Linked DNA regions of Oryzias latipes. The protein of the gene in region 3 purifies or fractionates together with the protein of the main gene of each other region. This does not show direct contact. Links are inferred from orthologs where the notes say so. Each region holds a gene or a part of one and is shown on either strand. Other genes may lie near its edges. The genes, in order: ap1m2, ap1s1 and ap1b1.

What was found.
Region 1: the proteins of ap1b1 (region 3) and ap1m2 purify together in Homo sapiens (affinity purification with mass spectrometry; 3 studies listed by BioGRID and IntAct, counting the BioPlex papers as one, with this or other methods). This does not show direct contact. The link is inferred for Oryzias latipes from reciprocal best matches to the Homo sapiens genes AP1B1 and AP1M2.
Region 2: the proteins of ap1b1 (region 3) and ap1s1 fractionate together in Homo sapiens (co-fractionation; 6 studies listed by BioGRID and IntAct, with this or other methods). This does not show direct contact. The link is inferred for Oryzias latipes from reciprocal best matches to the Homo sapiens genes AP1B1 and AP1S1.

Annotation. Positions count from the first base shown.
Region 1 is NC_019859.2:10,446,880-10,449,614, forward strand, and holds part of ap1m2 (AP-1 complex subunit mu-2), read right to left. Parts: intron 2,625-2,735; coding exon 2,557-2,624; intron 2,398-2,556; coding exon 2,267-2,397; intron 2,169-2,266; coding exon 2,021-2,168; intron 112-2,020; coding exon 1-111. UniProt on the Homo sapiens protein: Subunit of clathrin-associated adaptor protein complex 1 that plays a role in protein sorting in the trans-Golgi network (TGN) and endosomes.
Region 2 is NC_019876.2:26,351,046-26,354,703, forward strand, and holds part of ap1s1 (AP-1 complex subunit sigma-1A), read right to left. Parts: intron 1,114-3,658; coding exon 935-1,113; intron 1-934. UniProt on the Homo sapiens protein: Subunit of clathrin-associated adaptor protein complex 1 that plays a role in protein sorting in the late-Golgi/trans-Golgi network (TGN) and/or endosomes.
Region 3 is NC_019867.2:12,636,025-12,639,682, forward strand, and holds part of ap1b1 (AP-1 complex subunit beta-1), read right to left. Parts: coding exon 3,643-3,658; intron 3,115-3,642; coding exon 2,960-3,114; intron 1-2,959. UniProt on the Homo sapiens protein: Subunit of clathrin-associated adaptor protein complex 1 that plays a role in protein sorting in the late-Golgi/trans-Golgi network (TGN) and/or endosomes.

The DNA.
Region 1 (2,735 bases), on a different chromosome or scaffold from region 3:
AAGCACACGATCGTTGAGACCGAGACGCAGTTCAGGCATCCCAGACAGCATGGTCTTCAGCTTGATGCTGCCCACAATGTCGCTGCTCATCACACTGCCATTGGCATTCACCTTAAAGAGGAATAAATAAGTAATGATGAACTCAATTAGAGTTAAAAACAACCTATTTTAGTCTTTTCAAATACCAAAATGGAGAAATCTACACACATAAAAATATCAAATCAAATATTGTGTTGCTCTTACAAAAAGTTAATTTAGTAATAAATATAGCAGATCATATTGTTAGAAGGTGCAGTGGTAAATAAGACTTTTCAATTTTTTGCTGTTCATGGTTTCAAAAGCACAAACAAAAAGTATTTTATTTCTGTCCGTAACTCCACTTTGGAAATAACAAGAGCTTTTTTTTTGGTTTCCCTTTACTAAGGGTTTTTTTGTTTCTCTGGTATTTTAATAAATGTAAATTGTGTTCAGGTTTTCCTGTTGCAAGAGCCAAAGCAAAAGCTTTGACTTAGTCACCTTGAAGTTTTACACTAAAGGTTTTGACAACAGGTTGTAATCTGATGCCATTTTTCAACCGCCTGATTTCTCTTTTCTTCTCGGCCAGCTCATCTTTGCATCGGTCTTTTGATGTCTACCACGTTGGTACGATCACAAAGCGATGACAGCGTCTCCTGCAGACCATTGTTTAAAAGACAAGCTGCACAGACTCCAACCGCTGATCTTCCAACTTCCAAACCAGCACTCTCCTTTTGAAAAATGGCAGCCCCACAGAATCTGCTTCCAGAATCTGCTGTTTTCACTGAATTGGGTTTTCTCCAAACCAGTGAAATGTTGCCCACATTGCTGGCTGCAGCACAGGCATCATAGATCCAGCTCTGGGATTAGCGTTTGGCATCACTAAAGGATTATAGTGAAAGCGTCTCCTCTGAGAATTTCTTTTAAAAGGTTTGATCTGTGCATGCACGGCTGAACAAAAGAGCAGTGGATAGAGGGTAATTTTTCTGAGATGTCTCAACAGTTTCAAATATTTCCAGGCTCTCTGGTACTTTTTGGGAGGAGTCAAAGGTATATAAACATAAAAATTCAACAACAAAAAAATTGCAGCTGTAGAAATGATATATAGTCCTAAAAAACAATCTTCTTGTAAAATATTTTCTAGAGGCAGGCAAATAGGTAACCATATCGTAATCACCCAATAATATATTTTTTAAATATGTCACTTATACAAACTGAAAACAATATATCTCACTTGTTGGATCTGAAGGGTAAAATAAAGACTAAAGAATAACAACCATGTTTATTGATCAGTGTGTATTCCGGCTACAAACAAAGTTCCTAAAATGATCTCTTAGATAAGGCAAAGTAAAATGAAAGTTTTGTTGGATTCAACCATCTGTTACTTAAAAAAAAGCACAAAAAGACTTTTATTTAAATTGAATTCTGTAGTAAAGTTGTACATTTTTTTAGCATGTGTGTCAATGGGAGTTGCTCCCTACTGAAACTTGCCTCTAGTGGTCATTTGAGGAACTGCAGAATTTATTAACGGTTTGAAACAAAATGTGGGGACTTGACATAAAACAGATTTGCATGCTTTTTTTCTTAACAGTACACTGTGTTCTGCATCTGGATTGGCTGTTGACCTTGTCAATCAATCTCCTCCATGCTGTGTCTCCTGTACAGAATGTGTACAGCTTACCAGAGATACATAAATCTTTGATCACGCTCAGATCTTTGTTTTCATTCTATGACACTGGACTTATTTTTCTATGAAGGTTTGAACTTTGAGAGTTTAAACCAAAGAGAAAAATGTCTAAATGTTCATGTCTGAGAAAAGTGTGTAGTGAAGGCTTTTACAGCATCTGTAATCCTACTTTGCGGATTTCACCTTTCACAGGTTACTTTTAGAACGTAAACCCCCCAATAAGCGAGGAAACACTATTGCCTCAAGGCGTTGGATGTGAATTTGCTCTTTAAACTCAAAGTGCACTGAATTGAGCTGGACCTTCATCCTTTAACATACCAGTACATTGATGGACTCTATGACATCAATGAAGACCTCGTTCTTCTTGTATTTGATGCCTTCTGACCGCCAGGAGACGGCATTGGTCACTGTGGTCGGCACCTTGGTCTTTGCCACCTCTAACTTCGTCCCCTCCTGAGTAATGTATCTGGGGGAAAAAAATTGCCAAGAGATTCAGTTCTATGGAGTAACATCGCTTACATGCTGTATTTAAATTTGCCTTGTCTGCGCCTGTGTCTCACTCACTCCTGTAGGATTTTGCTGTCAGTAGTCTGAGGAAATCCAAAGTCCATCAGCTCATCCAGAAGCTCATAGACAACCACAAAATTATCCTGAATGCTCTCCTCCTCCAGTTCTTTAAAATACTCCGTAAACACCTGCATCACAGAAACAGATCCTTTATCTGTTGGTGCTCTGAGCAGCTGAGGTTTGGTTTTAGGTAGACACAAAGATTTCTCTGTAAACTTCTACCTGCTTAGCAGATAGATGGCAAATCTATCAAACCGGTTGAAATGATAAAGCAAAGTTTAACTCACCTCAACCAGTTTGTAAAGAAATGAGTAAACCAGGGAAGCGTTTGAGTTCTTGTTCGTGGTTGCCACAACTGCACACAGTCTGAGTCAAGGTTGGTTAACAACAGCACGTTCACGGTCAGGTGACGTTATCAGCTCCTCTGCAGCCAACGTTGTTTTAATGTGTACAAAGCAGAGTATGA
Region 2 (3,658 bases), on a different chromosome or scaffold from region 3:
TTTTACCTCATAACCCTCAAACATTTCAGTACAGGAGGAGCGAGCAGAGAAGCAGCTGGCCCACTGCTTTGAACTGCTACCTTCGCTAGCGCATAGGAGGAGAAATGCAGAGACAGACTGGCGCAGTTCTGTGTGTGTGTGTGTGCTGAAAGCAGCTCCGTTTTCTAGCGCATAGAAAGGAAGAAAGGAGACGGCACACGCAGCGTCTGTGTGTGTGCTGTGTGTTTAGCGCTTGTACGGAGGAAGGGAGCGCTGCAAGTGAGCGACCATTCAGTTTGTGATCAGTTAGGGAGAACAGTAACAAGATAAAAATATTTTCTCTACAAAAAACAGAGACTGGATGTTTTATTAACCCACTCTAGAAGCGCTGAGGTTCTGAACGGGGCGTTAACGTGCCCGCGCCTTAACACCCGGTGCGCCTTTTGTATGTGTCAAAGACGGAAAAATCCCCCGTGACTGAGACCGCGCCCTAACATCCGGTGCGCCCTAACATCCGGGGCGCCCTATGGTCGTGAAAATACTGTATTTGTTTTTTATGTGTGTGTGCAAACACTTCTCTGTCAACATGATAACTCTGGAGCAATAAACTGGTCAACAGTTGTTGGTCAACAGGAAATTAACCTGTTCCTGTCTTTTGATCGGTTTGCTGTGGATGAAGACTAAAACGAGACCCGCTTCAGTCCAGCGTGAAAACACAGCTCAACAGCAGTCGGTGTGGTTTCTCCGTTGAAGGACACGGATGAAGATCAGGAGAAGCACACAGTGACCTCTGAGAGATCAGAGACTAATGGAGACCGAGAGTGGGCCTCATTTTTGTCACCGCATTTAGGTCCTGCTGTTCCCCAAGCACAGCGGCACAAACTCAACCCAGAGCCACACACAGTCAGTCGGCTCATTCGGTGTGTGGTTTGTGCAAAAGCCAGGGCCGTGTCACCTTTTGTAGACAATCTTGAGGTCCTTCCACTCCAGGAAACTGCACATCTTTGGTTTGCGCGCCAGCACGATCTGCATGAGCTCGCGCACCATCTTCTTCTTGTCCCGCTCGGCGGTGGCAGTGTACCACTTCTGCAGCCGCAGCTTGCCCTGCCGGCTGAACAGCAGCATGAAACGCATCTGCAACAACAACAACAGCGCAGGCGGCCATTAGACGGGAGTTTTGATTCAACTCTAGAACTGCTCTAAATCGGACATTCATCGCTAAAGTCTGCTGACATTCATGTTAAAGGAATCATCCAAGAAATCCAGTATTCTAGAACATAAAAGCTTTCAGGAAACTGTTGAGAGTCGTGTAGACTGCTCGATAAAAAAAACTTTCACCATCAACTCATACACAAATTGTGACAAAAGCAGAAAAAGATTCTAGAGAAGAAAAAATTCAGGTAAATAAATGACGACAAAAATTCAATAAGTGGGATAATTTATGGAGATTTCACAAATGAAGAAACCAAAGATAAGTTAGGGGCTAGGAGGTGTGACAGGGGCTGGGGGTTGTCTGTAGGTATGGGGAGGGGGGCTCCATTTTAATTGTCCTGCTTTTTTTTAAATGTTGTTTTGTTTTGTTTGAATGTAAAGCACTTTGTGTTGTGCTTTTATAGGAAAAGTGCTTTATAAATAAAGTTTGACTGATTGATTGAAATATTATGTTCAAAATAAAACTTGATGCACATCTTACGAGCGTCGCTCAGCAAGAACAGATTGTTGCTGGAGGAAGCGTGCACAAAAAAAGAAAAAAGAAAATTTATTGTTATCGCAATATCAGGCTGTACCAGATGCGTATCGCAAAAGATGAAGACCATAAAACTTTAAATGGTAACCATTTAAGCTGAAATGTGCTGAAACAATCTTATGGCAGCTTGAAGTATTTAACCAATCAAATAAATCCCTTTATGCAATTGACCAATCGGATGGACTCCTTTGATGTAAGATGCTCGCCCCCTATGTAGACCAGAGCCATTTAGAGTATAATTTAAGCTACGTTGACTATTATTTTAGAACAGCTTCAGTCAAATGGAGATTATGCTTTTGGTTGTTTTGCTATTTGTTCATGTATCGCAAGTTATATCGTCATCTAGGGTTGTGCCGATGTACGATACCATCGTCCATCGTGATGGCTGACTGACATCACTATGGAGAGACACCATCGTGATGCCACGCCCCCCGCCACGCTGCGAGTCGACACCATAATAAAAATCCATGCGGGAAACGCCACAATCTGCATCTTGGCCGCACGTAAATATCTGGGAATAACATCAGCCTTTATTTTGTCGGGACACGACTGGAAACAAATCCACGTGATTGTTTGAATGGTTTCTAAGGACTGAGCGACATTTCTGCTTTGAAAAGCTCTCACACCGCTCCAAAGCCACTGTGTGAGTTGGCGGTCCGAGCTCTGCCCGGAAACACACTTTTAGACCTGGTTCTCCTGAGTTCGGTAGCTCGTTCACCTAGAGCTGCAGGACAGATCGCAGTCCTAAGTCTCCCACACATGGCGCACACGTAACAAAGCATCACCCCTTCCCCTAAAAACACAAAGTCCGTCTGCTCTGCTCAGAGACACGGTCGCTCGGTCCACCGCTTGACTAATCAAGTGCAGGAGCGGACTACTTTCCCATTTTGTTTGTTATGTTTTTTTTTTTTTTTTTTTAAAGTCATTTCCCTCAGTTTATACTGGATCATTGCGGATGAGTTATTAGTTGGGAAATAAAATAAATGAAGTAAAATCTTCTTCTTTCGGCTGCTCCAATCAGGGGTCGCCACAGCGAACAAGTCGCATGGTAAACTTGGCAATGTTTTACGCCGGATGCCCTTCCTGACGCAACCTTCTCAAACCGGGCTTGGAACCGGCACAGGGGTAGAGAAGGGAACAGGGAGCAGCCCGGAGTCGAACCCTGGTTTCACGGACGGAAGGCGCCGCGAACCAGCACGAGCTAAACCGGCTCCAAAATAAATGAAGTAAAATAGCGAATAATAATTATATAATCACGAAAAATTAAAAATTCCCCCCGGACGATTTCAAGCTGTGATTATCCATATCGCAAAAGTCAGCAAAAATCGCAAAAAAAAATGGTAAACCTTAAATGTGCTAAAACAATCTTATGGCAACTTGAACTATTTAATGAATTGAATAAATCTCTTTATCCATTTCGCCAATCAGATGGAGCCCTTCATGTTGTTGACCAATCGGATGGAGCTTTTATTTTGAATGTTTCCCTCCTAATTAGACGAGGGTCATTTGGAGAATAATTTAAGGTGTTTTGACTCATATTTAAATTAAACTTTTGCAGTGAAATGGAAATGTTTTTGTTGTTTTTTCCTTTTTGTTCATTTATCGCAAGTTATATCATCATCGCAATATTGATCACTACTTTTGCAAATCACAGGTTTTTCTTCATATCATGTAGCCCAACATCTGTAGTCCAAGTGGACATCTTAAAGTTCCACTCTGATCATCTTTGGATCTGGTCAAAGCATTCCCAGTGGTCTTTTAGTTATAATTATGCTGTTTTTAGACATAATAAATTAAATAAAATAAAAATCGCTGTCATTTTCTGGGACATAGTTTCTGCAGAGCGGCAGTAGTTCATTAGAAATTTGCCTCTGAGTTGTGGGCAGGAGTGTTGGCGTGGAGTACGCCTACCTTCCTTTCCCATCATCCCTT
Region 3 (3,658 bases):
ATGTTTTAAATGGAAGAAATTAAAAGACAAAAGTTAAAAAAATAAAGGGAATTGCTGTCTGACTCTGCTGTAATCAGTTTTATTTTATGATGTTTCTGATCAACTTGTGACTCCGCCCTTCAAGCTCACTCTCGCCACCATGATAGAGCTTTGGCAACGGAGGCGTAAATGACAGAAAAAAGTCTGAAATAAAATGCATCATTTGGAAATGGGGGGGGGGGGGTCTTTTCCCTTTGCAGTCAAATTGTCTCATTGGTGTCCGATGGGGGGAAAAAAAAAATGAAAAAAAATCAATATCCAATGTTTTACAGGGTCTGTTAGTTTTGTGTCAACAGCAAATGATTTAAAAATGACCCCATAGATAATGTTCATCTTCCTTTAACTGCTATATTTTGGGGGAAGCAAAGTTTAGTTTTCTTAAAAGGTAGTTTAGGCTACTTGGTAAAACAATGTGAATCCAGTTTTGCAATTTCTGCAAACACAGCAGGAGCTTTCTGCTGCAACGTGCAGAAAGCCGTACGCTCTGATGAACATGAGCGCTGATCACTTTGGGGTCTCATCTTCTGAAACACCATCAAGCTCCGCAAACAGCCAGTGGCAGGGCTTTACTTCTTTAGCTCTAAAAATAGCAGCTGACAAAAGGCTTTGGCAGCTTGGCTTTCATGTTCGGTGCCAACAGAGCGCAGGGACCATGCAGCAGGCAGCGGTTCAGAGGAACGAGCACCAAAGTGCATTCTGGGCTTGCAGCACAGTATGAGTGAAGGTCTCGTCCTGTCTTGACTGTACGATTTAAATCCATCTGTGAAATCTGGGGGGGACCGCTGCAGCTTCACCGAAGAGCAGCCTGGATTTTGGAAATTTAACGTTGAAAAGTTGTGGGATTTTTTCAGCCAAAGGAAAAACCTCATATCAGAACAAAACTACACAATTTTGTTCTAGACGTTGTCTGATGACAAGAAATAGGATCAAAATTCTAAGTTTAATAAGTGCGGTCCAGATAAGTGACAAATGGACAAGCAGAGATAAACAAGTAGACAGTTAATGCCACCTCATAAATAAAACATGAAGGGAAAGCAGACAGAGAAATGAACAGGGAGAGGAGTCACGCCAAGGTCACAGCTCAAGATTGCTCATCCTGCATGTTTAAGCCAAACATAATTCATCAGATGTGAGGCCTGCGGTTTGCTGACAAAACAGAGACACGCTAAATCAGAACGGACAGAAAATACCATGTAAACAGCTAAACACACACACACAGCAGGAGCCAACACACTCCAATCACGGGCCGGCCGGCCGCTCTCCCTGCCTCGGCATGCTCATCACTCATTACGGCGCATCAATCTCTGTCATGTCTGCCTGTCCAATCAAATGGGAATTTATCATCCATCTCCATTCATGATATACAAAGATGACGGCCAGCGCTCTGTCCCGCGCTCTCATTTAACTCATTTCTGCAGGAAGTGCAGAATGGAAGATGCAAATGTTTCTACACTATTTATGGAAAGAAAGAAGTGAGACAATTAGAGAAAAAAATGTGTGAAGGTCCTCAGAGAAGAGCTCGATTCATGAATATTTAAGTCAAGCTTGTTATGTGAGACATTTCCAACTGCAAATGCTTCTTTAGAATCCTGCCTGCATCCTTCAAATGTTAAATCTAAAAGCTCGAAAACCAAATCAAGATTCTTCAGAATCTGGATGAGTCAGACTGCATAACCATCATCACAAAAGCTGAGCAAATACTTGATTGTATTGATTGAGAAGAATTTGGGGTCACGACTCATTACATCACCAAGAGTATTTTTTTCTTTCTGTGTCCTTGTGTGGTGGTCAGTAAATCCACCAAAAATCCCGATAAGTAATTTTGGATTGATGAGTTTGTCCAGCAGTTCTTGGATCGTCTTGGCTGCTTAAACTTCCAGTAAACTCCTGACCTAAGCTACAGACTAGAGAAACCTCTTTGTCATCGTGTTTGGAAGATATTTGTCACAATCCTGTTTATCACTAAAGACGAGGCTTCCATTCCTCCAGTCAAAAGTTGATGTTTTCTAGACATATTTTCCAAAAAATGTTATTTTAGTTTTACAATTTTGAAATTGTAAAATTCAGACCGGCATATTTTGCACTTTTACCAAAAAAGATCGGTATAATGTTTTGTTTGTGATTGTTTTTGCCCTACCAGAAGAATCCTCAACATTGAAAGGTTTTTATTTTGCATTTTTGTAATATTTGCTTTGCTTTATCATATTTCTTCAGTTTTGTCTTTTCTTTGAAACGAAATAGGAAATTCTGATCCGTCTGGTCATGTCTTATTCAGACGAGTATATTAAGAGCTTGATGCGTGAATATTTTTACTGTTTAGAACCACAAACACACTTTTATAATGTGTTTAAAAGTTTTCAAGCTACAAAAAAAAAATCAAGAGTATTTTTGAAAAGCTTTCCAGCAAGTATCTGCTTGAAATGGGTAAAGGAAAGAGAAACTCTTCACTGCATCAGTTGAGGCAAAACAACCTTTTTTTGTTCCAATAAGTTAAATCTCTGCTCACGCAGCATTTACATTTACATGATGTTTACAATGAAATCTGATAAGAAATCTGACGTTTACAAAGACAGATTTCTTAAGGGAAAAAAGCTGCAGTGAATTCTATTCTTGGACTTTCACCATCACTGGAGACAAAACAAACAAACCGAACTATAAAAAGATGGTGGGCTGCAAAGATTCCCGCTTGGATCTTAATGCTCCATAAATAAAAACCCAGAAGTGAGATTAATCTTTCTGCTTCCCTTTAGATTTATACTTCCTTCTTGAGAATCTGTGCACAGCATGTGGGATGTTCTTAAAATAGCCTTTCCGTTTTCAATAAAAAGGTGCCACTGTGTCTCACCAGCTCTTTCTTTGGGTGGTACATACTGTAGCAGCAAATGCACGGCTGTGATCATGTGCAACAACAAATGCTTACGGTGTAATTTGGATTTCCAGCTTGGATTCTCAGCTCAGCCAAAACCCAGATGCCGTTGGTGAGTTTCACAGACAGATAGAGCATGTCCTGGCCATCCACCGTTCGCTTTGCAATGGTGAAGATGTTGCTACCCTGCAGTTTGTTGGAGACCGCATCTGTCGAGAAAATATATAAATATATAAATAAATGCGTTTGACAGCTCTGCTCCAGTTAGTTTAAAAATGTACTATCAAGCTCCTCACAGACTCTGGTCATGTCCTAAAGCTGTCAGAAGAAACTGTCTTTTAATGTGCTAGACCACTAAAAAAAAAGAAAGATGTTTCACCCTGAAGACCAACTCCAACTAAGATACAGGCCCTAATTTGAGACAAACCTTTCTCTTCAGCATCAGTCGGTTACACCTCAGCAGGACGTGAAATACTCTCTTTGTTCATGCAGAGAAAATAGAGTCTGCTGCTGGAACTCTCCATTAAGCTGCCATTACAGATTCCTCTCCTGCTCAGTTTCCTTCACATTTCTGCAAAACTAACTTATTACATTTAAATGAGGATGAAAGAGGACGAGTCCTATAAATTCTAATTCTGCTTTATTAACAAACTGATCTGTCTGGATTTTCTTAAAGCAGAAAGTGGCTCAGCTGGATGGAAGCCTGTGCGCCTTTTTCTCTAATCATGCCACCTTACCTGAACTGAGGTGGCA